Linked DNA regions of Drosophila melanogaster. The protein of the gene in region 1 interacts with the protein of each later gene in a pairwise test. Each region holds a gene or a part of one and is shown in the gene's direction. Other genes may lie near its edges. The genes, in order: CG10462 and Mdr49.

What was found.
Region 2: the proteins of CG10462 (region 1) and Mdr49 interact in a two-hybrid assay, tested with the Drosophila melanogaster proteins (one large-scale study listed by BioGRID).

Annotation. Positions count from the first base shown.
Region 1 is NT_033779.5:19,725,634-19,741,327, reverse strand, and holds CG10462 (uncharacterized protein), read left to right. Parts: upstream 1-5,347; 5' UTR 5,348-5,491; coding exon 5,492-5,561; exon of another isoform or gene 5,562-5,694; coding exon 5,695-5,816; intron 5,817-6,106; coding exon 6,107-6,328; intron 6,329-6,386; coding exon 6,387-6,858; intron 6,859-6,915; coding exon 6,916-7,689; intron 7,690-7,737; coding exon 7,738-8,165; intron 8,166-8,258; coding exon 8,259-8,583; intron 8,584-8,651; coding exon 8,652-8,677; 3' UTR 8,678-9,248; downstream 9,249-15,694. Other genes in the region: Nf-YB (nuclear factor Y-box B), read right to left, coding at 4,605-4,694, 4,748-5,055, 5,120-5,192; Lar (Leukocyte-antigen-related-like), read right to left, coding at 11,166-11,234, 11,303-11,608, 11,679-11,789, 11,856-15,197, 15,294-15,433.
Region 2 is NT_033778.4:12,936,609-12,953,792, reverse strand, and holds Mdr49 (multi drug resistance 49), read left to right. Parts: upstream 1-7,445; 5' UTR 7,446-7,617; intron 7,618-8,547; 5' UTR 8,548-8,605; coding exon 8,606-8,707; intron 8,708-8,772; coding exon 8,773-8,966; intron 8,967-9,025; coding exon 9,026-9,271; intron 9,272-9,404; exon of another isoform or gene 9,405-9,560; intron 9,561-9,654; coding exon 9,655-11,216; intron 11,217-11,391; coding exon 11,392-11,837; intron 11,838-11,940; coding exon 11,941-12,549; intron 12,550-12,619; coding exon 12,620-13,369; 3' UTR 13,370-13,470; downstream 13,471-17,184. Other genes in the region: CG13321 (uncharacterized protein), read right to left, coding at 130-136; CG44250 (uncharacterized protein), read left to right, coding at 1,617-1,620, 1,915-1,947, 2,444-3,300; CG44251 (uncharacterized protein), read left to right, coding at 1,617-1,620, 3,707-5,139; Sans (scaffold protein containing ankyrin repeats and SAM domain), read right to left, coding at 13,476-13,641, 13,711-14,706, 14,797-15,018, 15,082-15,225, 15,318-15,340; CG30487 (uncharacterized protein), read left to right, coding at 15,523-16,119.

The DNA of each region.
Region 1 (15,694 bases):
ATTACCACAAAAAAAATTATTACAGGATTAGCATTAATAACTTCATTCTTGAATGGTGTTTTCTAAACTGTTTAAAGATGTATAGAACTTGTTACGTACTATGTGTGGATAATCTACGCAAAACCTGGCTGAGCCACACGATGCTGAGTCTTTGGCCTAAAAAGAAGTGAGTTTGATCTTTCGGATTCCGATTCAAGTGACGAGGAGTCTGAAGAGGAGCCGGAAGGAGAAGATCAGTCCTTGGAAGTTTTAGAACTGCACCCTGAACAAGTCGTGCCGTCAGAGCAGAAGAGGTACTGTACATATCGCTGCGCCGTTCGAGGGTGCAAGACCACCTTCGAGGACGTAATCAGAGCTTTTCGTCTACACAAACTTCTCGAAGATGAAGATTACACCAAGATGTGGCTACACAACACAAAAGTAAAAATGGCCAGATAAGACTGGCGCAGCTTTCGCATCTGCAGCCTCCACTTTGATGAGGATTGCTTTGTAGGCTCCAGGGTAAAAACAAAGACACTAGAATAACAAGATGCGTAACGGCCATACATTGGTTTGGCACTATGCAGCCACTTTTTTGGTGACGGCCAAAATTGCTCTCTTTCCGCTCGCTCGCGCTGAGAACGTAAGAAATCTAAAAATAGAATTTGCTTGCTTGTGTGAGTAAAAACAAGAGACGAGAACGCGTATATGTGTGCGTGTTGTGCTAGAAGACGATTTTCGGGCCGAAATCAATTCTGATCTAAGAAATGAATTTACATTGTACATATTAGGGTAGTTTTTTTGCCAATTTCGTAGCAATATGATAAAATAAAATAATTATAAAAAATTCGCGCCCTTGTTATTATAATTTTAAAATTTTAATTTAAATTTTAAAATTTTTTAATTTTAAAGCTTTTTAAATTCGTTTGTTAAAATCGCCGCTCGAATTAGCTACCGTTTACATATTTATATTTATGTTCATAATTATTTATGTGTAATATGTGTAATAATCGGTACCCGGGGAACACCACGGGGAGGCCATTACAATTGTAATGGGGTCTTATATTTACGTATATGACCTTCAAGTCGACTTGAAATATTTTAATGTTTAACATTAACATTTCCATATTCCCCAATTAAGTTATTTTTCTAACTATTGTTTTTTATTATATATTGCTCGATTTTTCAGTCGTCAGTTATTTAAATATTAATATTTAAATAAAATAATATTTATTTATGAGATAGAATGCTGAGCTTAGCTTGCTTTTTTTGTCTATCAGCTATCACAGTCCACTTACAATGCTTAAAAAGCAAAACTTTTATAAGTTTGTTTAAAAGATCTGTTCTATGTGCATAACATTCATTATTTTCATAAAACCATAATGAGAAGGCACTACTTTCATTTGTGCACTTAATGCATTGCTCAATAATACATTTTTTTATACACATTTGTTTTTTATTATTTTTAAAAATATTTTCGAAAGCTTTAATGTGTATTTTGCAAACATTAAAAAATAAATCAGATGGTGCCTTTAATTTCCCGAAGTCCGATTCTATTGAGTAGTTTTTCTCATGTATAAAAAGCTCTGATGGAGCTGTTAAATGCTCGGTTTCTTTTAAAATTACCGATCTGCATTTATCGCAACTGGATCCCTTAGCAATATATCCAACAAAATATCTACTGGAAGTTAATTCAATGGGTACATCATTGCACAAAGTTATCTATATTTTGGTCAAAGTACCTCTCATTGTCTTGCACGATTTTGGAAAATGATACAGAGTATTCTTGTTGCTGTATTTCTTTTTTTCAACGAAAGGCTGATATATTATCGAATCGAACTCTATTGGCAACATAACATCATCTGATTCGCAATTCGACTTTTGTGAAAATTTAAAAATGTGTAGAGATATGAGCTTGGCAATTATTATATTAAATTCGTTAACTGAAGGATTTCTGCAGTTACCACCTTTTGCTCGAACGCACGCAAATATATTTTCAAGGGCATCCTGGTTTAATCTACTAGTTAAAAAGAAAAAGTGGTCTGTGTGATCCTTAAAGAGATCTTCGAGGAGTCCAAATATAGCTTCAGTAGTTTGGATCAAGCCATCAACACAATATATTTTATTCCCGTGATATTTAACGCTCTTTAGGTATTCCTGCATTTCCTTTAGTTTGTTCCAAACTCCATTGTTAACTTGGAGCGCGAATTTCATGGGGTTTTTGTCAGTTAATACTCTGCTATTCAGGCAATCAAAGTAATCATTAACTTTTTGGACAAATGCAGCCGTAGAAGCTGCAACTTCGGAACTATTTCGATGTAATTGCTTGTTTTGGTTACAAGTCTTAATTGCCGCTGCAACAGTGTGGCTAAGTGTTTGAGTTGCCAAACATACGCGCATTAGATCAAATCTGGTTGGATTAACGTGACTCCTTGTTAATTTAGTCATTCTCGTTACTGATCCATGATCTAATTCGTAAACCTCTCGAATGACATCAAAGTCAACTAGTCCGTCAGGGGTTTCAAAATTAGCTCTTAGAAAATTATTCCTTACAGACTTGAAAAGATGCGGAATGTCATAAAACATATAATATTTTTTATTATTTAAGGTAAAGTAAGATTTCTCATTGGTGACTTTAAGTAATGAGGTACATTTTCTATTGTTACCTCCTTGATCGTACACAACACCCCTTACTTTGAACCCAATTGTTTCAGCAATAATAATATTTTTATAAATAAGACTTTTTAAGCAATCGCCTTTTATATTCGTTTCGGCCACAAAATAGTTTAATATAAATTTCCATTTTTTTTAAATACCCCGAACAACAAATACGCAAATATGGCTTAGGATTTTATTAGAGCGATCAAGTAAATGCTCTATTCCATCTATTATATCAACTGACACATTGTAAGTTAGGTTTTTTTTATCGCTACTTCATCACAAGCCAATATGCACTCTTTATCAGATGCATTCATTTCTTTTATAGATTCTTTAAGGGCTGAGTACAAACATTCGTTGTCTCCTGGCTGTAACTTTTTTATGCTGTTCCACTTTTGCAAAGATGATGGACTTGGAAAATTTAATTTCAGCGAGTCTCTTAAGAACGTATATGTCGAAGTGGACCTGTAATATATGCTCTGAGCAAACAATTTTTTTTTCCATCTTGTATTTGTGCCCTTTTTTCCTTAAAAAGCATTTTCGTTAATATTTTTTCATTTCCTGTTAAATTAATTTTATCTATTTCAGAATATATGTTTTTTTCGGTCTTAGATTCCAACCTAACTTATTTTTTTTTTAGGTTTGAGTTTTCTTTCCTCAGCATTTTAATTCTAAACTGTCTCTCTAATTTGTCTTTGTAAAATAAATAAAAATATGAAAACTGTTTATTGCAAAAGTCACATCAAAGACACTAGAATTATTCTAGTGTCTTTGTTTTGGTCATATCTTGAGGCACGAAGTGCGGACACAAGCACTCAACAATCATTGCCTTATTAATTTTTCACACGCCGCAAGCTGAATACTCTAATGACAAATATTCTAATATAAAGTAATTTTTGAAATTTATTTTGTTATGATATGTACATGGATTTGGCTATTTCTAATCTGTTTTCAAATAATAATAACGTTAAGGCAATGCAAACAAGAATTTTTCGCATGATGCCAATTGATCAAAAATAATATAGATTTAAAGTCTAAGAACTTCTACGGTGAAGGGCATATTTTGTCAAATTTACAATGCATGAGCATACGTGTGCACACATAAAGTTGTCTGTTATCACTGTATGCGTAGAAAAGAGCTGTTCGCTGTAGCGCTCTTCGCTCTCTCGCTCTCTAACAAAAATTCCAGAGAGCCTGGAGCCACCTCTAGAGCCACGGCAAAAAAATCGTGTGCCAAAAAATCGTATGGCGTTACGCATCTTGTTATTCTAGTGTCTTTGGTAAAAAGGTGGGCAGTGCCATCGCTTCGCTTGAGAAGGGCGCCCTTGGGATCGAAAACGCTCCACTCGTAATTTACGAAAGTGAGTGGATAGCCAAGAAGAGAAAGCCTCCGTCCCGGTTTCCTAGGGCAGTGAAGGATACCGGCTAGGATAATATAATTTTTAGCAGATTGCTTGTATTACTTTCTATTACTTATGTAAGTATGTGAATGTCGTTCCTTGTCAGCTACAGCTACGGAAAATGATCTACAATTAAGATAACTCGTAAAATGTTTTTAATATTTCACAATATTAGCCCTTACCAACAACAAATCTAGTTTTTATATTAATGTTTACTAAATAAACATATTTATTTTATATAAGAGTATCAGTAATTTGGCTTAATGGGCCCGCGATACATAAATTCATGTTTGCTACCAGTACCAAGACCTAAATATTGAATTTGACTATGTATCGGGAGAGTAAAAATGGATTTATGCATATAAAATCTGTGGTTACAATTAAAATAAAATCATATATCATATATACAAAATAAAAAATTAAATAATCAGAAAGAATAGTAATGATAATATTAACTTAAATAGTCAATCAAGGTGTACTGTTAGGATTAAACAAAACACTTTGAATTAGACAAATATTTCCTTAATGTCAAAAGAACCTTAACTAACAGGGTAAGTAAGAAAGGGGTTACTGTTTCCCCGCATCGTTTGCGGAGGACCCATCTTCGTTGTGCGGATAACTGGCGTCCAGAAAGAGATTACGATCCGATTTGTTCGACTGCAATGGGTTACTTGGTTATTAACTGCTGTGCATAGCGTAATCTCACTGACCTCTCGGTACTTTTGCAGGTAAATGGACAGTGGTTCCACGTAATTGTCGAATCCCAGATTGCTGAACGCCACCAGCAGGTCGTCCCCGTTGACTGTCTTGCGATTCTCCGCGACGCTACGTTCGATGGCCTCACTGCTAATGAAGGATATGAACTCGGAGACACACTCCTGGATGCACTCTCGTGCATCCTTGGCTATCTTGCCGTTCTGGGGCACCGGAACCTTCATGATCTTAATGATGTTGCAGATGGGCAGAAATCGGTCCTGTTCGCGTAGCATTATCCCTCCATCCTGTTTGTCCGAATCGTCTGCGGGGGTGAAAAATCAAAGTCAAGCAACAAAACACGCGGTTGTGGATGGTCTTTTGTTTACCGCCGGACGCCTCGTCCTCCTCCTTGACCAGCATGTCGTTCAGATACTGCTGCGAGTCCTCGCTATTGCTCATATCTTGGATTTTTAACAGATTTCTTCAACGGATTTGCTTTTGTTTACTTTCCCAAATTGCGAGGGCTATCGTCAATCGATAACCACCCCAAGTGGTGAAGGCTGACCGCTCCACCCGATAATTGCGCCACTTGATCTGGCAACGCCGCGCCTATCGATAGTCGTCTTCTGATCGCAGCGGTATACAGCGGTATTTATTGCGCTGCTGCTCTCTTCTTTATATTGATAGTTGTTGATCTGATATCCTCTGATCAGAACGGAATTCTCGCGAATTTGGCGCTGGCCAAGGGGGAAATTGACATGGAGGACATCAAGATCAAGATGGAGCCGCAGGACGAAGTGACGGACAGTTCAATCAGAATTCTGAGCGGTAAGCTTGCATGCTCTCCTCCCACATGCGTGTGTGTGAGTGCTGCTGGGCGCCGTAGTGTTGGTGTCTCTGCTATTCTATTACGCACTTTACCGTTAACTTTTAATTCTTTCTAAATTCGGCCAATTTATAGCATGTGATACGCTGAAAATTTTGGACGAGGGATCTCAAATGATAACAGTGCCGATCAGGGATCGTTTGCGTTCCGAGGACGAGCGCCTATTTATCGCCAGCCTGGAACTCGGCCACCAACAGGTAAAAAATATACATGTACATAACCTAAAAAAGCACAAGGGTCGCGTGGTAGCGTGGAGATTCCGTTACGGGATCTAAATATTAATCGAAAGGAAGACATAACTGTCATAAATCTAAACATATATATTAAACATTTTGTCATAATTTTACAAAGTATCATATTTAGGCTGCATAATAAATGTAAATATATGTAATCATAATTATCTATCTAAATTCAAGCTACATGTATATGTACGATTTTTGCTAACGCATTAATACAAAATTTAATCAGCTAATACTTACACCCCCAGATATTTGCGTCTGAATCGGAGGACAACCCAAATCCAAAACATTGCGATATTTGCCAGTACAAGTTTAAAAGCCAACAGGATATATCAAGTCACCGGGTTCATCACGAAATGAACCTACATTTTTGTCGCCTGGGCTGTGGTATCTGGCTGGACACGCTTGAAAAGATCCTTGAGCATGAATATCGCCAGCATTTCCAGCCAGGGCGTGTGTTGTGCTGTAGGGTGAGCTCATCTGCATTTAACTTTTATACACACATTGATTAAACAGTGAACGTTTTAGGTTTGCGATTTTATGGCCAATAGCGCGGACGATCTGGCCAGCCATATGCAAAAGCACATTTACGTATATCGCTTTGTTTGCTCCATTTGTCGTCGGCATTTTGAGTCCAAACAGAGCCTCAATCTGCATAGGAAGCAGAGCCAGGACTTTTGCAGCCTGCTGGATTTCAGAAAGGGGTCATCATCAAAGCCGGAACTTGTGGCAGTTAGTACGCCGGTACCTGAAGAGTCGAATTGCTATGTGCAAATAAAAGAAGAGCCACTTAACGCAGAGGAAGCAGACCGAATGCTATTGGAAGACAACCCTCCACTCAATGTAAAATTGGAACCACAGGACGAGGAAATGCCAGATGTGAGTAGGATTAAGGAGGAACAGTCAAATGGTAGCGTCTGGACAGCCATACATACTCCGTTGAGGAATAAACTGCGCCTGCCTGCTCTGGCCACTACCAAAAATCAGATGCACTTAAAACGTAAGTTCTTTGCAATTAATAACAAAAGTAGTTACATAATTATTACTACCTTCTCAGCAGGTGTTAAGCGAAATGGACTACTAACGTCTAATGTGGAATCTCTTAACAAGAAATCCAATCACTCAGTGATATCCGATGATGCGAATATTCCGATTTCCAACCAAGAACCTTCAAATTCCTCAATTGCAGCCAATATACTGAAAGTGTTACCTAGTAACTGCATGGTCATCAAGTTGCCTCCCAACACAAAAATTTTTAAGACGCCAGGTCAAGCTCCGGCTGCCCCTAAGGACTCTCCCACCGTAACTCTGAGTGGTACGGAGAATTCAACCAATTTCATAAAGATTCCGAAGACGATAAGTATAAGTACTGTCGGTTCCATGGGTAATCCTCATGCGTCTGCTAAGACTGTGCAACCAACCCAAACTCACAGTCGATCATCGTGCTTTCTTGTCGACTCGTTTAACAATTCCAAGAGCAGACCCGAATCCATGAAGATAATCAATGAATTTCGTAATCAAATTCGGTCCATAGAGAAGACATTGCCACTGCCGGGAACAGTGCTACAATCCTCGAAAGTAACGATGGATGAATCAACGTCGTCTCCCATGGATGCACCCAAACCCGTAGAACTGATGCTCAACCCGTCGGCTTTAATGGTGGCCAGGGAACTGGAGATCCAATACCCGCTATATCGATTTATGTGGACTTGTCCGCTATGCCAGCGAATGTTTGAGAAGCATTGCGCATTTCGTGCGCATCTGACTAACAAGCACGACTTAACCGATGAAAAGTGTAACGTCCTTAAAGTGGTTTTAATGCCTTCTAAAAGTAAGTAAACTAAAATTTTGAACGTGCTCGTTTTAATTGCCCTTGCAGTACTTTCACAGGACTCAGCAAATGCTGCAACTCAAAGAGTGCATGTGCCATTGAATCCACAAACGCCTGTGCCTCCTCCAGAACTACCCAATACTGTTAATTTGCCTTTATTGCTAAGTAAAACGTCTGCTCCATTAACAGGCCAGACATCAGCACTATCCAATGTGCCTGTTAACAAAGGTTTATCCCCGACAAGTATAAATATAGAAAAACCAAAGGTCTCCAAGAAGCCCAAAAAAAATCAGTCGTTCCAGTGCACCGAATGCTTAAAAGTGTTTACTACTTTTGGAGCCTTGCGCATTCACAAGTCCATACACACGGGGGAACTGCCTTACCAGTGCAGCTACTGTGACAAACGTTTCCGAACTCCTGGACAAGTGCGGGTACACCACCGTCGTCACACCGGAGAGAAACCATTTAAGTGCAAGGTGAGAAGGTATAAGAATTGAGCCTATGCTTACCTTAGCGAAATTAGACATTTGTTAATTGATTTATTGCAATTTTCTGTTTCCCCTTTGCAGATATGCTCGTTAGACTTTACTCACCGGGAAACTTTAATTTCCCATCTATCACGGCATATTGGGATGAAGCGGTATAAATGCTACGGATGCGATAAATACTTTGTAGTTGTCAGCGGCTTACGAGCTCATCGTCGTCTCCGGCCAGACACCTGTGGGAAGGTTAAGTTCACCGCTCGAGCCCATGGTCCCCGCGTGCGGGTCATCAGGGGAGAGGTGGTGTTCCAGTATCACCCAGAGCACAACGGCTACTTACGCAGTGAGGACCCGCTCAACATTTTGTCCCAACGTGATCAAACCAACTCAACCCCGCCAGAAACTGCAATAGGTAAGTCGTTATCAGTGAGTTGTTTATTTATTTTATGAAATATTGTCTTTTTTAAACTGGCTCATAAGATACAGGAAATGCGATTAGGAACTAGAAAGGAACATTGCAGGATGGTATTGAAAATTCGCTATAAAGTCTGGAGAGGTATTCCCACGGAATAGTGCAGGAAAGGGTCTGGCTACTCATTGTATTAAGATTCAAATGAATTAATTAATAATGGCAATTACTTTTGAAATACATTCTATTCAAATGTGGACGTGTATGTTGACCGTGAAGGAAGATGGCTATGTTTATTGTTAGCTTGAATACCAAACGAGACCATCATTGTAAGGAATATGGATATGGACGTGACAAAGTATTTGGCGGCACCACAGGGCTCACAGACTCATCATAGTTGGCTCGTAAAATCTTACTTGGAAAGCACTACCCCACCAGCCGATTGACCAGAGATTGCTCCCTCTGATTACAATTTTTCCTCATGATGGCTCATGGCTTGGCAGGCTTCTTCGTCTATGATGTATTCAAAAATGGATCTGTTAATGGATTCGTCAGAAAGACAAAAATAAAAAAAAAACAAAAGTAGTGGCTAGCGATAAAGAAAATACTTTGTAATGATGTAAAAGTATAAAATAAACTACCATCAAATACCTTTTGAAGGGTAAATTAAAGGCTCTAAACGGTTTTTATTTTCGTCTTTTATTATTTTTCATCATTCAGTTTGCAGTTTTTTGAAAATGATATATTATTTGCATGGTATTTTTAAACATAATATGACATTCTTACCCATACTTTAATGCGAAATACATACGCTCTTCTGTTTGCTTGATTAGTATAATCATTATATTGTTTGCTTGTTTGTGTATCGTATGACCTTTAAAATTGTTTTATCTTTCTATTTCGTAAAACATACAAAACAATTAATTATCTTAACAAAACTTGACAAGCCGGCAGATTGTGTAATATACAATATAATCGTACATTTCAATTTATGTATATGTTACGTGTAATACGATTGCAACTCTCTGCGGGGGTACCATTATCTAGACATCTATTTTTGCTAGCGCTATAGTTTAATTTAGTATCTCTCGGTTTATTCCAAATACGCCCAGCCGTCCAACATCGTCTCAAAATTTACTACTTCCTAACACTTCCGATCCAATTGGCAGGGGCAACATGCTAGAGTAGTTATAACAAATACCTTTATTTCGTATAAATATTTAGTTTACATATGACTATGGTTGTTTAACATGTGTTTCAGCTAATAATTTAGTGTTTGCTTTTAAGCATTTGCTTGCTAACTCTTTATATATTTATGTATAGTTACGAGGCCGAATTCAAACGTTTTGCAAAACAGCTTATCAGTTATATACATTATTATGTACCTTAAGAACTATTGCCAATGTCTCGATTTTATGTTTATGTTTATTTATAACCGCGTGTGTCGCTCTATTTTATGGTAAAAATTATATGCTACAGTACATATCTACAGTTATCATTCTAATCTGTTCGCTCGGTTATTCTCTATGTCTTCATACACCTTAGGTACAATAACTTTTCATAGCTTTTCAATCTAAATTACACATACATAAGTGGCTAGCTCGGGTATCGACTGTGGTATATACAGGAATGTACTAGGGAACTGAATAGAAGTCGAGGGAATGAGGTTGAAGTTAAAATAGCTGCTTGGCTGGAAGTTGCGTATGTGATCTATCATAATGGTCTTTGAAATTTGAACTGTCTGTTAGCTACCAAGACATCGATCAGTCCATAAGGTTCGTCATCTTTTGCGGGGAGATCAAAACGTAAGTTGTGTTTGAAAACTAATTTTAGAATCTAGCTGCCTTATAAAATATGCGCTATGCAAGACTTTTGACTAATTGCACGGACCGTTTATACTGGTTTCCATTAACCAAGGCATGAAAACTGATTAACATAGCAGTGTTTGATTGATTGTATTATATATTATAATAGCGTCTGGAGTTTGCGCCAAATCGCCAGAAGTTTTCGATTTACTTAAAATGGCTTCTACTTTCGACCCTTTGCTTCCGTTCGAGATTCGATTTAGGCGGTAAGACTAATAGCTACCAAGTCCTTAGTTCAAATATGTATCGGTTTCCAGTGGCGCCCCTCATTCATGGTCACTCCGGCGGCAGTACCACGAACAACAACAAGTTGATTGACATCCTTCTCCATTAGCGAGCAAATCTTGATGCACATACTCGTACATAGAAGTGCATGTGGGTTGATATATAAGGTTTTGATAATTAAACGTGTAACAGTCTTCTTTAGTTTACATTATCAATAAAATAGAACGCAATATATAAGATCGAGTCCCCCAAAGAATCGTAATGGTAACATAACCTGCGGGCGGGGGTGCGCTTATCAACTAAACATATCCACGTATATAAGTATAGGTGTATTAAGTAAGTGTGGGCAGTAGCTGGCTATAATACTTTAGAGTTATGATATCCGTGTATATCGTAAATGCGTATTATGCGTAGAGTTCGAAATAAGTATGCAACGAACGCAGGGTCGATGAGATTTTAGCTCTGTGGACCTGGCAATCCCATTGAGAAATGCACTCAGTTTGTATAATTGTCGAATGAGCCCAAGTACTCCAGTGCAGCGCGATAGCAGAAGTGGTATTGATCCTATGGGAGTTAAAAAAGTGAATGAATCCACTTTCCTTCATCGGTTTAGAAGCCAGTGCAATACCCACCTCGGTTTGTACCATAGCCGGACGCTGGGATCGCAGTATGCGCACTGTCTGGAAGACGTCCAGTACTCCCTCGTACTGCATTCGTTCCAGAACGATGCTCAGAGTGATAAAGACACCCGAACGTCCCACGCCCGCCGAACAGTGCACGGTAATGGGTCCATCCTGGCCAAACTGCTCCTTGGTCTTGTGCACCTGTCCGATGAAGTCGATGAAGCCCTCGCCCGACTTGGGCACACCCTGCTCCGGCCAATCGATGAACTGGAACTGGCGGACGGTGCGCGATGAGCCATCTCGGGCATCCGTGACCTAGTTTCATTGAGGTAAATTAAATTAGTTTCATGTTGTAAGCCAATCAAGTCAAGTGAATGGTGCTCACCTTAAATTCACGCAGCTTATACTGCGGCATGTTGTACTCAGCAATGGGATCCACGACATAATACTGATAGCGTACGGATCGCTCATGAGGCCAGTACTGGAAGCACTTTTCCTGTGGGAATGTATTGGTTAATGGATATGAATAATCACTGTATTATGGTGCAAGGGGGGAGCTTACCCTTCCCATTTCCTTGAGCTTGGTCAGCATGACCACAATGGTGGAGTTGTGCTCCCAGAGCATGCGCCAAAAGTCCTCAGCGGCATCCTGGACAGGACCCTGTGCGGCGATGTATGCGGAACGGTAACGATAGCCGTCGATGAAGCTGGCGTTGACATAGTCGCTTCCCTCGATTCCATGGATGGGGGTCAGGTAGACGCGACTTGACTCGTACGGCAGAATGTGGACCAGGCGATTCTTGTGCTTGTTGCACGGCAGATTGGCCGTTACGAACTTGGACGAGTCCATCTTGACGTTAGACAGCTTCTTGAACTCCACCTCCATGCCCGAGATGGTCTCGCCGGGCTCCGTGATCAATAGTTTCTGTAGGTGGGTGTGTAGATTGCGAGCCGGCACCTCCGTCACCCCACAGATGATGGCCTCCAGGATGGCGTCATGAATGAAGATGTACTGATCCTCCGTCTGCACCATGTAGTTCCGTTGCGCCCGTAAACAAGTAACATGCCCATAGATGTCGATAATCTTCTCGTGCTTCATTCGTTCCAACATTGAATCGATTACGATATAACAGCCAGTGCGACCAACTCCCGCAGAGCAGTGAACAATCACGGGTCCGGATTCCGGTGGCGTGAGGGCGCGACACCGGCGCAAGAACTGAAGGAAGGGCGCCGGATGATCGGGCACTCCATGATCTGGCCAGGCTGTGAACTGCAGCTGCTTGATCTCACGCCGATCGTTAAAGCCCTGCCGGCACAACTGGAAGGTGCGGATGCTGTAGGTGGCCAGTTCCTGTGTCTCCGTGATGGTAACAAAGATCTGACCATAGGTTTCCGTTCCGCGAGTGGGCCAATACTGATCGCACTTTATGCGCGTTCGTTCCTCCAATCGCGTCATCATCACAATGGTTGCCGTCTTCAGTTCCCAACACATGCGCCAGAAGTCGACAAAGGTCTCCTGCAACGGACCTTGGGTCGCCACGTAGGCATTGTGCTTCCGATAGCCGTCACAGTAATTGGCATTGATGTAATCTGATCCAACCACACCCTCCACCGCTGGCAACTGGACGCGTGAATGATCGTAGGCGGTAACATTTGCATAGCGATTCTTAGACTTGTTATGCTCCAGATTGGAGTTGTCCCAGGTGAACTGTTGGCCCGGCTCAATGCTTTCGTATTCCTGCGAAAACTTCTGATTGTCATTGGACTTGAGTCGTTCGATGTGGTTGGCAAACTCGGATATCGGTATGGGCGGATGGGAGATCATGCCGGGTGTCTGGAAGTTCAAGCGCCTCATGTCCACGGGATCGCTGGGCGTAGGTCCGGCTCCCAGGTCGGCGGCCATCAGTGGCCTTGTGACAGCTGCCTGATCCGGAGTCTTGCACGGCTGGCGACGACGCTTAACCACACAGAGAACGATCAGGGCGGTGGACACAATGAATGTGGACACCATCAGGGGCAGCACCACCCACAGAATCTCCGGTTCGTCCTTGTTGCGGTTCACCGACACTTCCGGCTCCGCGGGCCAATTGGGATCGGGTCGGTGGGGCCGCTCACCTGGCGGAGCTTCCCTCATGTCCAGCGATAGGAACTCAGAGAAGGGACTGGAGGTGTAGAGGTGCTTCTGTGGCGTATCCACAACCGCTCGCACAAAGATGCGGTAGCGCTTCTCTCGCTCCAATTTGCGATTTGTAAAGTTATGATAATCATCGCCAGATCCCAGGTGGAATGTGAACGGAATGGAACGCTGCGGGAACTTGGCTGCAATGTACGGTGCATTCGGACGCTCTGGCTTATTCCTGCCCGGCAAGAGATCATCGGTAAGGAACTGATCGGGTATCTTGTGCAGATTGGACTTGTCCTCCGGGACCACCACCAAATAATAGTGCGATATGGGTCCATATTCCTCCGAAGCCTGAGGCAGTATCACCAGAATTTCCTCGCCATTAACAACGCCGTAGAAATCCGGCTTCACCATTGGCTGAGGTGCAGCCATTTGCGTTGTGACCGTAATCTTTGTGGGCGGCCGGTAGGAATAATCCGAGGGAATGGCACTCACATTCACATTGTACGTGGTAAACGGACTGAGTTCGTTGATAGTGTGGGTCTTCACATAGTGCTTAAGGATAATCTCTCGCTTGGGAACGATCTGGGTCTGGGAGAATCCCTGCGAGTCCACAAACACCTTCATGGCATCGAAGCTGATCTTGTAGTTTACCGGGGTTAGGCGAATGGGTGGCGACCAACTCAAGGTCATCGAATGGGTGCTGACATCGTGAGCGCGAAGATTTAAGGGCACATCCTCCGGCTTGATGCGTACTGTAACCTTTTCACTAAGACGTCCCAATCCGTTCTTGAACCTCGCCGCAATGGCCACGGCATATTGGGCAAACTTCTCGAGATTAACAAGATCAGCGGATTCCGTAAGTCCAACGGTTTTCGTTTGCCAATCGTCCAGATCCTCGACAGCTGTCATGGTGTAAAAGATCTTGTAGCCCAGCAACTTGCCACGACTTGTTACCGGTTCCCACCAAATCTCCGCAGTTTGCTCCGATGTTGCCTCTGCCTGCAGGGACATAGGTGCTCGACCCATGTCACGTTCTGTCTCCACGATTAACTTGTCGCTGAAGGGACCAGCTCCCTGCTTCGTATAAGCCCTCACCCGGAAGATATACTCGGTGTTCTCCTCCAGATTTGTGAACACCGCCTTCCGGAGAGTCATATTTCGCTCGGATCCCAGGCCATGATCGATTTTCTTGTGAAACTGAACATCATAGCGGGTGATTATGCCATTCCGGTGCTCCCTAGTTGGTGGATCCCAGGTCACGCACAGTACATCCGGAGTTTGGAAGCGAATGGTAATGTTAGAAGGCGGTCCACCGGGTGTTCCCTCGGGTGTCTGAAATATTTTCACCGTCTCTTGCCCGATACCAATATGATTGCTGCCCGCCACACGAAATTCGTACTCAACTCCGCGTTCCAAGTTATCAAACCGTTTCTTGGTCATCTGCGGTCCTGACAGCATCTCCTCCTTCAGTGCTTGGTCCTTGACGCCCCATCGAAGTCGATAGCCACGCAATTCGCCATAGGTCTGCGCCGGTCGCTCCCATTCTAGTTCGATGGACACGATCGGTTCCCGCTCCATGATCTTCAGACTCACCGTTGGTCGAACTGGTACTCCGCCAGGAGTTTTCACCACAATCGCAGCACTCCGGTCACCATCTCCTTTACGAGTTAGTGCCGCCACCTGAATGGAGTACTTTGTATCCGGCTGCAAGCCAGTCACATTGAACTCCAGCGTGTCTACCACATCAAACTTGAAGGGTTCGTTCAAAAAGCCCTTGCCCTGAATCAAAATAAACAAATTTAAATAGTAAGGATGTAGAAATTGCAATTGCTCTCTTAAATAGCCAAAAAAAAAAAAAAACTCTTTAAAACTCACCTCATCTCGCAGCTCCTGGGCGTGTATATGATACCCACGGATGATGCCATTGCGATCCTTTTCGAGAGGCGGCTTCCAGCTGACATGGATCGAAGTGGAGTTCAAAGGTGTGGCCTTCACATCTTGCGGATCGCCGGGCACTAGAGGCGACGACGAGAAAAATGACGATTAGATGGGAATACTCACAGTGGTGAAAACAACTTGAAATATAAACATTAAAGATAGCTTAACTTATGCCAATTTATTGGCTAGGCTGCTTAACCACTAACTTACTTAACATTGTAATACATGGTTTTCGTTTTTTGTAGACAGAAAGAAAACTAAGGCAACTATTACTAAGAGATTAGACCCTAGGAGTAAATACATATCCAAGATATATGTTGGAAGTACAGAGCCAGAAC
Region 2 (17,184 bases), on another chromosome or scaffold:
AAGGGATTTCGGCTGTCAGGTGCGCGGAGTATCGATGACACTTGCCCACTTGTCACGACTAATTGCGGCACTATGCTTTCGTTTTCGCCAGAATTATCTTAGTCACTAACTTTGCACTTCAGTTCTCACCTCCCATGTTGTATTTGTGTGCTTTTTTTGTATGTTGATTTAGGTCTGGAACGTGATGTTATATACTCGCTGGCTCCGCTATGTTTGGGCTGACTTCAACGACTGGTCGCTACCCGCACATCGGTTGCGCCTTAAAAGCTGTTGTTTCCGCTTATCAGTTCGGCAAGTTAGCCGGCAGTGATAAGATATCTTAGTCACACTGCTCTGAACCGTTCGATTGTGTGTGTTCCACAAAGGTATCCTCATGTCGTAGAGGGTGTTCGTCATTGCGACCAACTGACAGGTGTGTCAGAATGTATATTGGATGATTTTGTTTGGTAAAAACAATTTAAATTCTGGGTTAAACAGGAAGCGCAACCAAAATTACTCAATCGATCTTGTGCATGAATATTTGTTTTTGTTTTTGCGGGTTTTATCTATAAGCAGTTGGCTACGAATCTTATCGCCGGTAGTCAAAAATAAACTTCATCAATAAGTTCGTAAAAGATTATATGTATGAGGGTGGCTGTCCATGGATCAACTATAAGTTCAGGAATGCTTTTCTAGAACAAAAATAAGAACCAACATGTAAACAGTTACCTAACCTTCTTGTGGATTATTCAAATCATAAACCTAATAATTGAGAAACCTTTGGAAAACTAACTGTAACTGTTGTAAAGTTACAGACACTTGTTTGGTCTAAAGATGAGTCAATTGCGATATAAAGTTATTGATATCGTTACCGCTGAGTCACATATGTATATTTATACTTTTTAATGCCTTTTATGCCTTACATAAATGCATACATACATATGTCCTTTGAAATCAGTTTGTTTGTTATTACAAAGAAATTATTAATTAAAAGAGATAAAATAAGCACATACATTACACTAAAGGTTTAAAGATTATTTTTAATATTTCAGTAGGTAAAAAATAATTCAAAATGAATGATCCTTTTTCTATTAAAAGTACAAATTTTCGACATGCTTATCGCCCCTTCAACGGGGGGGATTTTTTGAGCATGGGCGCTTCTGGCAGGCGTCATATTGTTTATGGGTCTATTTAATTGGGGTTCCACCTGTTGAGAGGGCACAACAATAACATTTAAAACAATGTCCACATGCTTCGATTTACTTGTTTTTTTCTTTTACTCCCAAAAGTACCGCCTGTTTGGGCCAATGATTCATTTTCGATCGATAAATGGAATGCTTTTCTGGAAATGGAGCTTTCGAGACTGGAAGTTAAAATTAGTGATAGCAAAGGTCCCAATATCAACTGCACTTCTTTTTTTATATATGTACAAATGCGAATTGAAAGATAAAAGCTCGCCGATAAGAAGCAGTGACGAATCGCTCTGGTTCGGTTTTTAAACGTCAGGCTTTTGCAAACCAATAGTTTAGTGAAAAGACAAACTTTGGTCAGTTCAGACGCATTTTGGAGTCAGAAGAACGCAAGTGAATAAAAGAAACTATTTTTCATAGGAATAACTTATCAACAATTAACGCACAATGGGTAAGTAGAATGAGTAACCTCTGATAAGTGCAACCAAAAAAAAAAAAATGATTTTGCAATGCCAAAGTCTAATGAAATAAGTGTAATTTACCTTCAAGATCATCAAAATCAAAAAATATATTGTTGCATATTAGCTTAATTAAATTCAATTTCCCAATTACGGGCGAAGAAATCCGCAAGTGCTGACCAATTCTGTTGGTATTGCGATTTTTTTCTCTGTGCACATTAGCCGGAAGAAAAGCAAAGAGCATTGAGTGACTTCTACAGTTCTCCGCCTTTCTTTGCTCTTTCCAGGCGCCGTGCAGCCAGGAGGAGTTGTGACCGTTGGTAGGACGAGTGCAGTGAGCCCAGGGTGAAACCCCTACGCCTCTGTGAAACCCCAAATCCCATTTGATCCCCGCCCCCAGACCACCTAGGCCACCCAAAACCACCCAAACCCGCAAAACCGTACAGCAAGCCAAATATGTACACGGAGAAAAAGCTATGAGAGTATGAGTATAGAGTGAATCATTATATTGTACATTGTACTTAATTTTTAATCAAAACCGTATCCATTTAATAATGCAGCTTCGGGATGATAAATGTTTACCTTTTGAAAAAGTACGAAGTTAGTAAATCTTAATCTTTTTTTTTTTAATAACAATATATAATATCTATCAAGACAATATTAATATAACAGTGATTTAAATCAATCAAGTAGAGTTTTAAGATATTTCCAATGGAAAGGACACGAAACTTACTCTCCGGTTTTCGCTCTGTGTACAGATAGGTTATCTTATCGCGTGGTATCAAACTTATCGCCCTACTGCCTTTCTCCTTGCAGACAACACCTGGGTGCACTCGTCTCCATACAGCCCCCTGCCCCCATACGCGGTTATCGGTGGCCATGACTCGGACCGCACGCCCATCTATGTGGGTCGATCCTTTCACGAAGGCGAGAATCTTCCCGCCAAGGTCGTACCGAGCAAGGGATGCGCCTATGTGGCCTACGGTGGTGCGGAGCACACGAAGACGCACTACGAGGTGCTGGTGGGTCAGGGATTTGCCTGGGTGCCCAGTTCCAGCGGTGGAGTGCCACCGAATGCGGTGAGGAGCGGAACGACGCGAACGGGCGAGCCGCTCTATGTGGGACGCGGACATCATGCCGGAAGCTTGACTGTGGGCAAAGTTCATCCATCGCACGGCTGCCTATACATTCCATTTGGCGGCCAGGAGGTGCGCATCAACACCTACGAGGTGCTCATCAAGCAGCAGCACGACGTCTGGGTACCGGCCTCGCCCAGTTACACTCCTCCGGGCGCAGTGATCGCCGGACACGACTCCGACCGTACTCCCATTTACGCCGGAAGGGCAATGCACGAGGGTGAAATGCTGCCTGCCAAGGTGGTGCCGAGCAAGGGAACCGCCTACGTTTGCTTCGGCGGATACGAATTCCAGAAGCCCAGCTACGAGGTGCTCACTGGCTACGGATATGTATGGATGAATTGCGGCCACAGCATTCCACCAAACGCCGTAACCACGGGTCGTGCTCGCAATGGAGAGCTGCTGTACTATGGGCGAGGACACTACCAGGGCAGTTTGACACCGGGTCTGATCTCGGCCAGCCAGCGTTGCCTCTATATTCCGTACGGAGGTCGGGAGATTCGCATCAACTCGTACGAGATTCTCTGCAGACAATAAGCTAAAGGAACGGAACACTACAGATACCATATGCATTTAGTCTAGATCAAACTGTTATCGCAGCCAAATAAACTGATTGTTAATACCGGAAGAAATCTGTGGGCATTTTGTGTTCCTTCTATTTTTAAAATACTTATCCCTGCAAATGTATTATACTGATATGGCCAAAATGGACTGTCGGATTAGACAGGTTTTACAAAATTTATGAGCTACGATAGTGGCTTGCTATGAAGGTCATTTCCTTATATTCTACCTTTCTTCCACATTATTTACTTTTAAAGAAATTTAAAATTACTACATCATTTTTTTGCATGTCTATAGATGAAATAGCATATTATTGGTTAGTCCTTTATGATAAACTAATCACTTCTGAATAAGCAAATAACAAAATGCATCTTTCTTTCAGCCTACAAGTGGGTTCAATCCTCGGCCTACTCCTCCCTTCCCGAGGAGGCAGTGGTGGGCGGCAACGATGAGGACGGCGCCATGATATACGTGGGCAGGGCGGAGCACGAGGGCGATATGTTGGTCTGCAAGGTGGTGCCGAGCAAGCAACTGGGATTCATTTCGCAGCGAGGAGAGGCACTGCCCAAGGACATCTTCGAGGTGCTGTGCGGTCAGAATCTGGTGTGGATCAAGTGCTACGATCATGTGATTCCGGAGAATGCTGTACTCTGTGGACGCACATCGCTGGATCAGCCGGTTTACATTGGTCGTGGTCATTATGAGGGTCATCTGATTATCGGCAAAATCTCCTCTGTCCATCGAGCTTTGTTCATCGCTTTTCGCGGTGCCGAACGTCGTCTGGATTCCTATGAGATTTTGGTGGAGGAGCGCAGAGTGGTTCCTGGCTGGCAGCTGCCGCCACCACCTCCTCCACTAGAGGAGCCGGAAAAGTGTCCACTATCGCCGCCGCCACCACCTTCTCCACCGGCAATGGCGCCGCCACTGCCGGCCAAACCATATCCATATCCGGATTTGGCTGCGATGCCATTTCCTGACAGGCCTCCGGCCTACACACCCACTCCGGATCCCATGCCACCCGTTGGAGGTGTGATGGTGATGCCGAGTCCAACCCCACCACCGCCGGCGGGAGGAGTGCTGGTCATGCCACGACCACCACCACCACCACCGCCTGCAGGTGGTGTGTTGGTCATGCCACCTCCTCCTCCATCGTTCACTCCAGCTGAGGTGGCGCCACCGCCATCATTTGTTCCCGCAGAGGTGACCGCAGTATCCGTTCCCGTGGCACCATCGTTTACACCCGCTTCCACCTATAATCCCTACGAGGCGGGATGCTCGTCCTACACTCCGGCCGAGTGTGCTGCTCCTTCGGCATATGACGCCTACGGCTATGGCAACAACTATGACGTTTGGGTATCAGCCGAACCGGGCTATTATTACTCTCCCGATGCCGTGATTGGAGGTCATGACAGCAACATGGAGCAATTGCTGGTTTGCCGGGCCTACTACCGTGGTGTCCATGTTCCTGGCAAGGCCATTCCCAGCCAGGGATGTGGCTACATAGCCCACGGGGGTCGTGAAATCATTGAGCCATCGTACCAAATGCTGGTGGGCAAGGGCAAATACCACTGGGTGCCATCCTACGGCGGAAACGTTCCACCTGGAGCAGTTGTGGCCGGAACGACACCTGGCGGAGCACCACTCTACATTGGACGGGGTCACTACTGCGGCAGCTTGACACCCGGTGTAATTGAGACCTACAACCGATGCCTCCAGATCCCATTCGGTGGCCAAGAGATCCGTCTGAGCAACTATGAAGTTCTTGTTAGGAGCGATATTTACCACGGACAGCAGGCCATCCGCCTGGTTTACTGAAGACATATTTAATCTGGAAAATCCGAGAGCAGCTAGGCCATGAAAACCCATAAACAAATTTTTTGTTCCTATAAATTATTCCAGGCATATCTTTGTATATTGTGAAAAACTACATTTTAATTATTAATTACCTATATTTATATACGCACTCAATATTAAATGCATCTAAGCCAAATGCAAAATGTGAAACTACCTCTACACACATTATATTTAACCGACATGTTTATTTACTAGTTAAGATACTTATGCACTAATTATATTGACACACTTTTAAAGTTCGTTGTGTAATAAATGTTTTATTTATTTAATGACGCCTTTGGATTTAATCATTTGTTATGGTTTGGGTTTCTTATTACGTCGGTTCTACCACGTGTAAAATAAGTTAGTAATTATACTATGACAAACAAAGACTCTTTAACATTTCCATAAACGCTTGAACAAAATCGTAAAGAACAAAGTTCTTCCGCCTTAACATAGAAATTACAATTAGAAGATGGTAAGTAAACGATTTGCGGGCACGAGAGTTTAAGGTCAAAATAATATTGTATCACGTAGAATAGTAAACTTGGCTTAATGTGCGGAATTAAAAACGCTGTATTCCCAGCTTAGCAAAGAACCCCATATGCTTGAAAACCTCCTTGAACCCACACGGGTTTTAACGATTAGACAAATCTGGCATTTCCCACAACTATCCGTTATTGGCCAACACAAGATTTCTTAAACGATTCTGGTTTTTCGACGTCAACTCGGCGCACAAGATGAAAGAGAAGAAAGAGAAAGGCGAAACAGGTAAGAGTAAATATGAGCGAATGCGTCATAATGCGCACTCTGGAAATACACCGTCAGAAAAACTTGAATATTTAAACTTGAATTTAAACTCACATTCTACATATTTTAATATTTTCACGCTTTTAATGTGTTTTTTTAATGATATGCACTTTAAGCAATTAATTTTTTAAATTAAACAAATTTCAGTTCTTTATTAAACTTATTACTTCGAAACCCATTAACATAATTAATGTAATTTTAACAGAAATATATATTGTCAGACCAAAAATGCATTGTTGATACGAAGTAATGGAAGCTCATTAAATATTAAAAAATGAACCCAAAAGTCAGATCAAAGATTGTGAAAATAAGCAACTCGCCACTGAGTAAATCAACAAATACTTTCGCCAATATTTGATATACACCTTTGTTCAAGTTCTATCCCACGTCTATAAATATGAACGAATTTTTAGAACACTAATCTGGTTTGCCGTAGATAACATAGTCGCATTGGACTAGGTCCGTAACCAAGAGAACATTTGAATGGAAACGATTTTAAACGCCTTCCAAAATAATTTCGCCATATGATGCCAAATGGTTGAAAACACCATACCTGGCCGCAATTATCTATTGGACTAACCTTGTCTAAATTGGCCACAATTCGGCTTATCTGACTTGCTAAATAACATTTTGATAGCACACGTATATACATATATTTTATTTTAGTGCCGTTATGGGCAATTCGAGTGCTTACAACTGTCGATTAGATTGCAGATGAGATCCCTTTGGAAATTTTTTGTTTTCCAAATCGTTTTGCTTGGAGACACTACCCTCTTTGAAATACTTTTCAACTGAAATGGTGAAATACCGACAAACCATTGCAAAAGAAGTTTACCATGCCCCACGATATCTCAAAATCTGAAAACAACATTATTTGTATTTTATCACACCAAGTAGTGTGATATATTTGGATTGGGGAAGTCGCCGCTGGGCAGCGTAAGAATGCCGCTACCACGCTTAAGCATCCAGGTATTTCACGGCACACCTGAGCGGCGGTATGAATCATGACTTTCGCACGCGATACAGATACAGATTTCCTCTCGGTTAGTCCCCCGATCTGGCGAATTCAGCTTAAAATCTTTTGCGCGGGGAAAACCATGCGCGCAAATGGATTACGCTTAGTCCGTTTTTGTTTTGGCCAAAAAAGACCCGACTCCACTGCATCTATGGACACGCTGGGTCAGTAAACAAATACCGGTTACGAGAGACTGATAACAAACTTACGCCGAATCGATGGTATGTACGTACAACATAACTGTCTAATCAATCTAATCTGCATCGTCTTTATGGCTCTGTTTTGGTTACAGGACCAGCGACTAGGAACCAGTATTTCCCGCCGCCTGGACGAGTGCGAGGAACAGGCGGGTTGCCAGGCGGGAATCCCGATTAGTTATACGATCGACTTTGTTGCCGCTCGAGAACCGAGAGCCGAGATTCTGGCACCGAGCTGTCGTCGCAACCATTCGATTTTGTGTTAGTCCAGTTCAGATCGCGCACTCGTCGGCTGCAGACGTCTTCTTGAGCACTTCCCAGTGCCAATAGAGCCAGAGGAAATATAGATATATGTATATATATACATATATAAAGTCTTCAGACGATCGCGAGTTTCATCAGTTTGCCAAGTGTCCACGGAAGATCGGCACGTGCTAAGTAAGTGCCATGTAGCGCAAGTGAATTTCCATTAATTGATTCAGTTTCTCGATGCATTCGATGAGTGCGTTTCGTCGACAAGTGAATAAGATTGAATCGAATCTGAGTAGCTGAGGAGTGGGCTATTATACCCAGTTCCTTGGATCTTGAGTGCAAGCCGTTCGCAATTGACAATCGCAATCAACACACAAATATCTCGCTTTCCAATTGCGCTTAATTTATTAATTTATGTACGCTTGTTTTTCATTCGCGCAATCGAGCTAATTTCCTTAAATTGACTTGGGAAAATTGTTTTTGCTGATTAATCAGCCCTTTGCTCTGCGTCGAATAATTTCTACAATATATTTTATGTAACACGTAAAGATACATTAATTATCACACACTTAAGCGTCATAATTGCTACCATTTTTATCAACATTAGTTATTTTAATGGTATTATAATTACGTGTTTCCAAGATGTTGAGATACATTGATTTCCATTTAATTAAGTGCAAGAAAAGTGCAAGTATTTCTTGTTAAGAAAAAACGAATGTCAAACTATTATTATAAAATAGTGGCAATGCAAGAAGATAAAGTTCTAGAAATTTATTTCATAACATTATGTTAAATCTGAGCCTGAATTCTTTGAAGAGTTGAAATATTTTTTAAAATTCAATCATACTTTTGTTAATCTCCCCAGTAACTTTCCTGGGATAACATGTTTGCCTTAAGAGCACTGAACTCTTTTTGTGAATTAGAATTAAGAAGATAGTAATTAGGCTTTTATAGTCGAGTTTGCAGATAAAAAGCGAGAGCAACTGGGTGTGTTTGTGGTTCTCGTGGTTAAGTTCTTTAATTGATACACTCTAAATTATAGACCCCAATTTAGAGCTTAGATATCAGGCCAGCACACAAAATGTTGTGTTTACTAATTGTTAACTTTGTTCTTAGGCTTAATTGCTATAGCGAGTATAGAGATACTTTACTGCAGTATCGCCTCATAGACACAATGGTCAAGAAGGAGGAATCACGGCTGCCACAAGCTGGTGACTTTCAGCTTAAGGAAGGATCAGTCGTGGATGCGACCCGAAAGTACAGTTACTTTGATCTGGTGAGTGGTGACTCCGCATCAGCATCGTTATAGGTTCTATATCCTTTTTGGTCTCGCCTCTATAGTTCAGATACTCAACCAGATGCGAGCGCTTCCTGTTGGTAGTCAGTCTGCTGGTGGCCACCGCTGCGTCCGCATTTATTCCCTACTTCATGATTATCTACGGAGAGTTCACATCCCTGCTCGTGGACCGAACAGTCGGCGTGGGCACATCCTCGCCAGCCTTTGCTCTGCCCATGTTTGGTGGCGGTCAGCAATTGTAAGTTCTTAATCATAAGATAGTCCAGGATTATGTTATAACGTCAAATTTTCGTTCAGGACAAATGCCAGCAAAGAGGAGAACAACCAGGCGATCATTGATGATGCGACTGCCTTTGGCATTGGCAGTCTGGTGGGATCTGTGGCCATGTTCCTGCTCATCACACTGGCCATCGACTTGGCCAACCGGATAGCCCTCAACCAAATCGATCGCATCCGAAAGCTCTTCCTGGAGGCAATGCTGCGACAGGACATCGCCTGGTACGACACCAGTTCGGGCTCCAACTTCGCCAGCAAAATGACAGAGTGAGTTTCGTCTCAAATAATATAATTATTAATAAGCGTATAATCCGAATCTTATTGCATTAAACAAATTATAAAAACCATATCAATTGAATATTCATTAGCAGAGCTAGAAAATTACGCAATCATAGTAGCAATCGGACTTATTAACATCAATATGGTTTAAATATGATTGAAACAATTTATCACTATCGCGATTCCCAGACAATTTTAGGAAGCCACCTGAAAGTTTTTAAATAAATTAAATATCTCATGCCAGTGACGTGAACTTTTTTTGTGCGAATTTTACAATGTATTTATTCAAATTCCTTTTAATTCTAGAATTAAATTCTAAAGACTTTAGAGTATTTTTATAACTCCTCGATTTTTTTCTTTGGAATTTGCAGAGACCTGGACAAACTGAAGGAAGGCATTGGCGAGAAAATAGTGATTGTGGTATTCCTGATCATGACCTTTGTGATTGGAATAGTGTCTGCTTTCGTCTACGGATGGAAGCTCACCCTGGTCGTTCTGAGTTGTGTGCCCTTCATCATTGCAGCCACCAGTGTGGTGGCTCGACTCCAGGGATCGCTGGCCGAGAAGGAGCTGAAGTCCTACTCCGATGCAGCCAACGTGGTCGAGGAGGTATTCAGTGGAATTCGCACAGTGTTCGCATTCAGTGGTCAGGAGAAGGAAAAGGAACGCTTTGGCAAGCTGCTCATTCCCGCAGAGAATACGGGTCGCAAGAAGGGTCTATACTCGGGCATGGGAAACGCACTGTCCTGGCTGATCATCTACCTGTGCATGGCTCTTGCCATCTGGTATGGTGTGACGCTCATTCTGGACGAGCGTGATCTTCCCGATCGCGTTTATACTCCGGCCGTTCTGGTCATTGTCCTGTTCGCCGTGATCATGGGTGCCCAGAATCTCGGTTTTGCCTCTCCACACGTGGAAGCCATTGCTGTGGCCACGGCAGCTGGCCAGACCCTGTTCAACATCATCGATCGTCCGTCGCAGGTGGATCCAATGGACGAGAAGGGAAACAGGCCGGAGAATACCGCTGGACACATTCGTTTCGAGGGCATACGCTTCCGTTACCCCGCCCGTCCGGATGTGGAGATCCTCAAGGGTCTGACCGTCGATGTGCTTCCGGGTCAGACGGTGGCCTTCGTGGGCGCATCTGGGTGTGGCAAGAGCACCCTCATCCAACTGATGCAGCGGTTCTACGACCCCGAAGCGGGCAGTGTCAAACTGGATGGACGGGATCTTCGAACACTGAATGTGGGCTGGTTGCGTTCGCAGATCGGAGTGGTGGGCCAGGAACCGGTTCTCTTCGCCACCACCATTGGCGAGAATATCCGATACGGAAGACCATCGGCCACTCAGGCGGATATAGAGAAGGCGGCGCGAGCGGCCAACTGTCATGATTTCATCACTCGCCTACCCAAGGGCTACGACACCCAGGTGGGCGAGAAGGGCGCTCAGATTTCTGGTGGCCAGAAGCAGCGGATTGCCATTGCCCGGGCTTTGGTTCGACAGCCCCAAGTGCTTCTTCTCGACGAGGCCACCTCTGCCCTGGATCCCACCTCTGAGAAGCGGGTGCAAAGTGCCCTAGAACTGGCCAGCCAGGGACCAACCACTCTAGTTGTGGCCCACCGACTGTCCACCATCACCAATGCCGACAAGATTGTCTTCCTCAAGGACGGTGTAGTGGCGGAGCAGGGTACGCACGAGGAGCTCATGGAGCGACGTGGTCTCTACTGCGAACTGGTGAGCATCACCCAGCGGAAGGAGGCCACGGAGGCGGACGAGGGAGCGGTTGCCGGGCGACCTCTGCAGAAGTCGCAGAACCTGTCTGACGAGGAAACCGATGATGACGAGGAAGATGAAGAGGAGGACGAAGAGCCGGAGCTGCAGACTTCGGGCAGCTCCAGGGACAGCGGATTCAGAGCCAGCACGCGACGCAAGCGTAAGTACCAGAAGTTGGAATATTTAATGCTTTTACTAACCCAAGTACCAAGACTTAAATTCGATATTAAGTAAAGAAAATAAGTAATAAAAACAAATGCAAAATTAAAAGTTCTATAAAATCGTGCACTATATTATATATATTAACTTTAAAATCCAATTCAAATAATTAACAGGTCGCTCGCAGCGTCGCAAGAAGAAGAAGGACAAGGAAGTGGTATCCAAGGTGTCCTTCACTCAACTAATGAAGCTTAATTCTCCGGAGTGGCGTTTCATTGTCGTCGGAGGCATTGCATCCGTAATGCATGGCGCCACATTCCCGCTTTGGGGTCTCTTCTTTGGCGACTTCTTTGGAATCCTCTCGGACGGTGACGATGACGTTGTGCGAGCCGAGGTCCTGAAAATCTCCATGATCTTTGTGGGCATTGGCTTGATGGCCGGATTGGGCAACATGCTCCAGACCTACATGTTCACAACGGCCGGCGTGAAGATGACAACGCGATTGCGTAAAAGGGCTTTTGGAACGATTATTGGTCAGGATATTGCCTACTTCGATGACGAGCGAAATTCAGTGGGAGCACTGTGCTCCCGGCTGGCCAGCGATTGTTCCAACGTTCAGGGTGTAAGTTTCAAGATTGAGGGTAACCATGCAGAAGCACTGCTATTCCAAGCTACTGCTTTTTACTATATATGTTTAAATATCTAACGCTTTTTCCTTATTCCAGGCAACCGGAGCTCGTGTGGGCACAATGCTCCAGGCCGTGGCCACTCTTGTGGTTGGAATGGTCGTCGGTTTCGTTTTCTCCTGGCAACAGACGCTCCTCACACTGGTCACCCTGCCCCTGGTCTGTTTGTCCGTCTACTTGGAGGGCCGTTTTATCATGAAGAGCGCCCAGAAGGCTAAGGCGTCGATCGAGGAGGCTTCTCAAGTGGCAGTCGAAGCTATTACCAATATCCGAACGGTCAATGGTCTTTGCCTAGAGCGCCAGGTCTTGGATCAATACGTTCAGCAGATCGATCGCGTGGATATCGCCTGCAGGCGTAAGGTTCGCTTCCGTGGTCTGGTTTTCGCTTTGGGACAGGCGGCTCCTTTCCTGGCTTACGGCATCTCCATGTACTATGGTGGTATTCTGGTGGCAGAGGAGCGAATGAACTATGAGGACATCATCAAGGTGGCCGAGGCTCTGATCTTTGGCTCCTGGATGTTGGGACAGGCCCTGGCCTACGCGCCAAATGTAAACGATGCTATTCTGTCCGCCGGACGCCTAATGGATCTCTTCAAGCGCACCTCAACGCAGCCCAATCCGCCACAGAGTCCCTACAATACAGTTGAGGTAAGTCAACATTTCGCCAATCGAAACCGTACATTATGTTGGAAACTCAAATTTGATTGTTTTTTTTTAGAAATCCGAGGGAGACATTGTCTATGAAAACGTGGGCTTCGAATATCCCACCAGGAAGGGCACTCCCATTCTGCAGGGCCTAAATCTCACCATCAAGAAATCGACGACGGTTGCTCTGGTGGGTCCATCTGGTTCCGGCAAGTCCACCTGCGTGCAACTGCTGCTTCGCTACTACGATCCCGTATCGGGATCCGTGAATCTGAGCGGAGTGCCGAGCACGGAATTCCCGTTGGACACACTGCGCTCCAAGCTGGGCCTGGTCTCGCAGGAACCCGTGCTCTTCGATCGCACCATTGCCGAGAACATAGCTTATGGCAACAATTTCCGTGACGATGTGTCCATGCAGGAGATTATTGAGGCGGCCAAGAAGTCGAATATCCACAACTTTATAAGTGCTTTGCCCCAAGGCTACGACACCCGACTGGGCAAGACATCGCAGCTCTCTGGAGGTCAGAAGCAGCGCATCGCCATCGCTCGAGCCCTGGTTAGAAACCCGAAGATACTCATCCTGGACGAGGCCACCTCTGCGCTGGACTTGGAGAGCGAGAAGGTGGTGCAACAGGCGCTGGATGAGGCGAGATCAGGCCGCACATGCCTGACGATTGCGCATCGTCTGACCACCGTGCGGAATGCGGATCTCATCTGTGTGCTAAAACGCGGCGTGGTAGTGGAGCACGGCACCCACGATGAGTTGATGGCACTGAACAAAATCTACGCCAATCTCTATCTGATGCAACAGGTGTCGGGCTAACACAGCGAACTGGAGTGATAATTGTTAGGCTTTAATTTAGTATGTACACTAGGCTAATTGAACATGTTGAAGTATTACAAAAAAAATAGAATGATTAGGCCAACTACTACAGTCGACTGTCTACCAGGGGTCCGGGATTGGCCAGGGCGTTACGTCTCTCCTGAATGGCGAAGGTGAGTTTACGGAATGGCCCCAGTGGCAAGCCAAGTGACTTAAGGTCCGATTCTGTGAGCAGCATCAGAGTCTCCAAGTCGATCTCTTGCTTCTGAAATCTGAAATGGTAAAGGAGGATACGAGTTGAATACACATACATTCCAGACAAATTTGGTTTTGTTACTCACACTGGCAGGTATTCTTCCAGGGCCCAAACGGCCAGGAATCGCTGCAAGGCACTTCCTCCGGCATCTCGGTCGTCGTCGTCATCATCGCTATAGATGTCATGACCGCCGCCCTCCGAGTCCGTATCATCCGAAAGGTTCAAATATAAACGACCCTTTCCTCCGCCATTTCGTGTCTTTGGAGGATTGCTGCCCGCATTCCGCATCGTGGAAGTGGAACTGGTGTCCGTGTGCAGTTGAAGCTGACTTAAAGCAGCAGTTACGGATCGACGAAAGGCAATGCTGCCCAGCATGGTGGGTCTATCGAAGAGTCCAACGGGTCTCTGGAGGGTCACTTCCTCGCTTAGTTCCTGGGTCAACTGACCATCCCCCAGAATATCCGGTTGGGAGAAGGAACGCGCTAAAGTAGAGCTATAGCCACTGCGGTTATCGCTGTGGTCCAACTCATCGGCCTCCATGCACTCAAAAACATCGCTGATCTTGCCGCGCTTGCCGACACTGTCCTCGTTGGAACTAAAGGTGCCCACATACAGCACCTCGGAGTCTCTCTGCAGACCCGTAAGCGATGTAATGGTTCGCTTTCCATCTGGCTCCACCTCGCGCACCTTGAAGCCACCGTCTGTGTCGCTGGATATCTTCGAGTGTGGACATGTGCTGCTGTGCTGCTTTTGGAGCTGCGACGGTCTCTTTTGCACCGTTCCCGCTCGACTGGCTATTGTGGAGCCACCGCTGCTGCTGCTACCGTTCCCAACCAGATCGCTGAACTTTGTGGGAGGCGGTGTATCCCTTGGTGTCTTATTTAGATTGCCCTGGCTGGACCAGATCTTCTGCTTCAGAGTGGACAGCATGTTGCCGGTCTTGCTGGAGCCACTGGGTGCGCTTAGATCCGAATACTCCGGATCCTGGCGCTGTTGCTGCTGATTCTGGCGCTTCATGTACTCCCTAACACGTTTCTCGCAGTTTTTCTCGGCCAATTCTTTCAGGGCCTTGCTTTTTTTTCTGTTAGTTGAAGTATTAGTTTTAATATATACAAAAAATAAATTATGCAAACAAAAATGCAAGCAAGTGGCAGATATTTCATAAACTTACTTTTCAGTGGCCTCAAAGTTTGTGAAGGCAACATCCAAGTAGCGCAGGATCTCGTCCCTGCCATTAATAGCCGCCAGATCCTTGGCGCTGTGCTTATCGATATCCAAGGCATAGATGTTTACTCCGAATTTCACCAAGAAGTCGACGCAATGCAAATGACCCTTGGCGGAGGCCAAGTGCAAGGCTGTGTTTCCGAACTGATCGCATTTGTCAGGGTCACCACTGAAGGGAGAGGAAAGGATTATCTTCAGTGGATATAGAATTATCATTTAAACGAATGCGTACCCCCTTCCGCACAGCAGACGCAGTGCATCCAGACGCCCCTCGAAGGCAGCCCACATGACCGGCGTCATGGAATCACTGTCCTTGGCATTCGTATCCTTCCGTGTGGCTGCTGCCAACACATCCAACAGCCCATCTTTGGCGGCTCTAAACGGAAACGATTGTACCAGAAAGTTAATGAGTCTCTTGTGCATCACCATTGGTGATAAGATAGAGTCAAATTAATTGCATGTACCCACTTGTGAAACCGATCCGATGACATATTCGTCTGTGTTATCTTTCAATCAGGTTGGCGATGGAAATTCTTGAATCGATCTGAAAGGAATCCAAGGCGAGATGAGTAGGCTGTTCATTATACTTGCCATTCCTTTCCATCACACATCTCAAGATTCTCAAAATTAGGTCACACACATAAGCGCCAACAATTCTTTACAATTAAAAAGCATGTCTATAGAAAAAATCTCCTCCGAGCTGCGTAAGATGATAATATCTGACAATCCAATCGAAGCAACAACTTTCGATAAATCTGCAATAGAGGCAACTTTGGATTCCAACAAATTCGAAGATCTACGAATTCCGAAGCATACACTGAAGCAAAAGTTTCTTCTTCGAAAGTCAATAATTGAACATCCCTTTAAAAGAATTCGTGCCGAAGGAGTGGATTGGGCTCACAAAATTCGAGACACCGACGAAGAGAAGGAATCTAATTGGGCAAAGATTGCGACTGGAAAGGTTTCTGGCAATGCCTACGATCTTAAAACCATGATGAGCGAGTGTGAAAATATTTGTGGTTACGGAAACGCCATAAACTTGACGGTCCCAAGGGTGGACAAACTACAGGATCTGGCTAAATCGATCCCAACGGATCCCGATACAGTCTACCTGACCTGTCAATGTGATGATATTTTCTCTAATGGAGGCACAGAAGCTCCGACTCAAAGCCCCGACGAAGTTAATTTCGAAGAGCTGTCCAGCTACTTCGAAAATATGCTCAACATACCCAAGAATCTTCCGCTCAGCGCTGAAATAATGTATACTTAATGATTGGAACGGTGTGTGTATTGTTATATTTAGAGTAAAAAAAGATATAAATCATTTTAGTTTACGGTTTTCTCATTTTAGATGTGGTGATGTTAGGTTTGGATCCCTATATATGCATATACATATGTACAATGTATGTATCAGATCGACTGATTTCCGTTTTGGTGTTACTGGTACCAAATGTAGACGGGGTTTTCGTACTTCTTGTCTTACTCCACTTTTTAATGTGCTTATTGTGTGGGGCTGGCCAATTAAAATAAGCCCGAAGATGAGCCAAATTCCTAAGCCTAAGCATATTGCCCTTTTTCCCAGCACTTGTACTAACGTTCACACGTTTCGAATTAATAATCCAAAAAAGAAAAAGAAAAGTGTAGCCGCCGCGAAGAATCACAGGCCCACGACACACGCACACAAGAAAACATTACCCATTTACTGCGCACGACGGAGTTTGGCTTACATACCAACGACCAACTACCAAGTTCACTCAACCTTGTTGGCTGGTTTTCGAATTGCCCAAAACAACCGAAAATCGAGACAGTCAACCATTTACTTATTTACCACGGGTACACACACTCACTTATTACCAGTTAGTTGTCCCGGTTCAAGACGACTTTTCAAATGCAGGATTTCAAATTGGATTTTCCCACTCCGGGCAGCTTGACACTTTTCTTTTTAGCCAAACGAACCGAAAGTTTTCATCTGCGATCGGTAGAATATGCACGTTCCGAAAGCCGTTACCCGGAAGCACTTTCTACCGCTCCGACTGCATGTTGTTGAATGAAATTGTTAGCTTTGCTCAAACTCGGCGCTCACATTACGCACAGTGGTCGAGAAAATGATAGATGCTGCTTAGACGGCAACTAAATATTTTAATGGGAAAAATTATGTATGCTAATGTTTTGTTTTAAATTTCTTAACCAATAAAGTAATATAAAGAATATAAATTAATAAAAACATTGTATTGAACGTATTGGTTCAATAATCGTATTTGAATATAGAATAATTTGTACGAAAATATTTAAGGTGTGAACTACTGTGCGGAATCAACTTGTATGTCCTACTGTG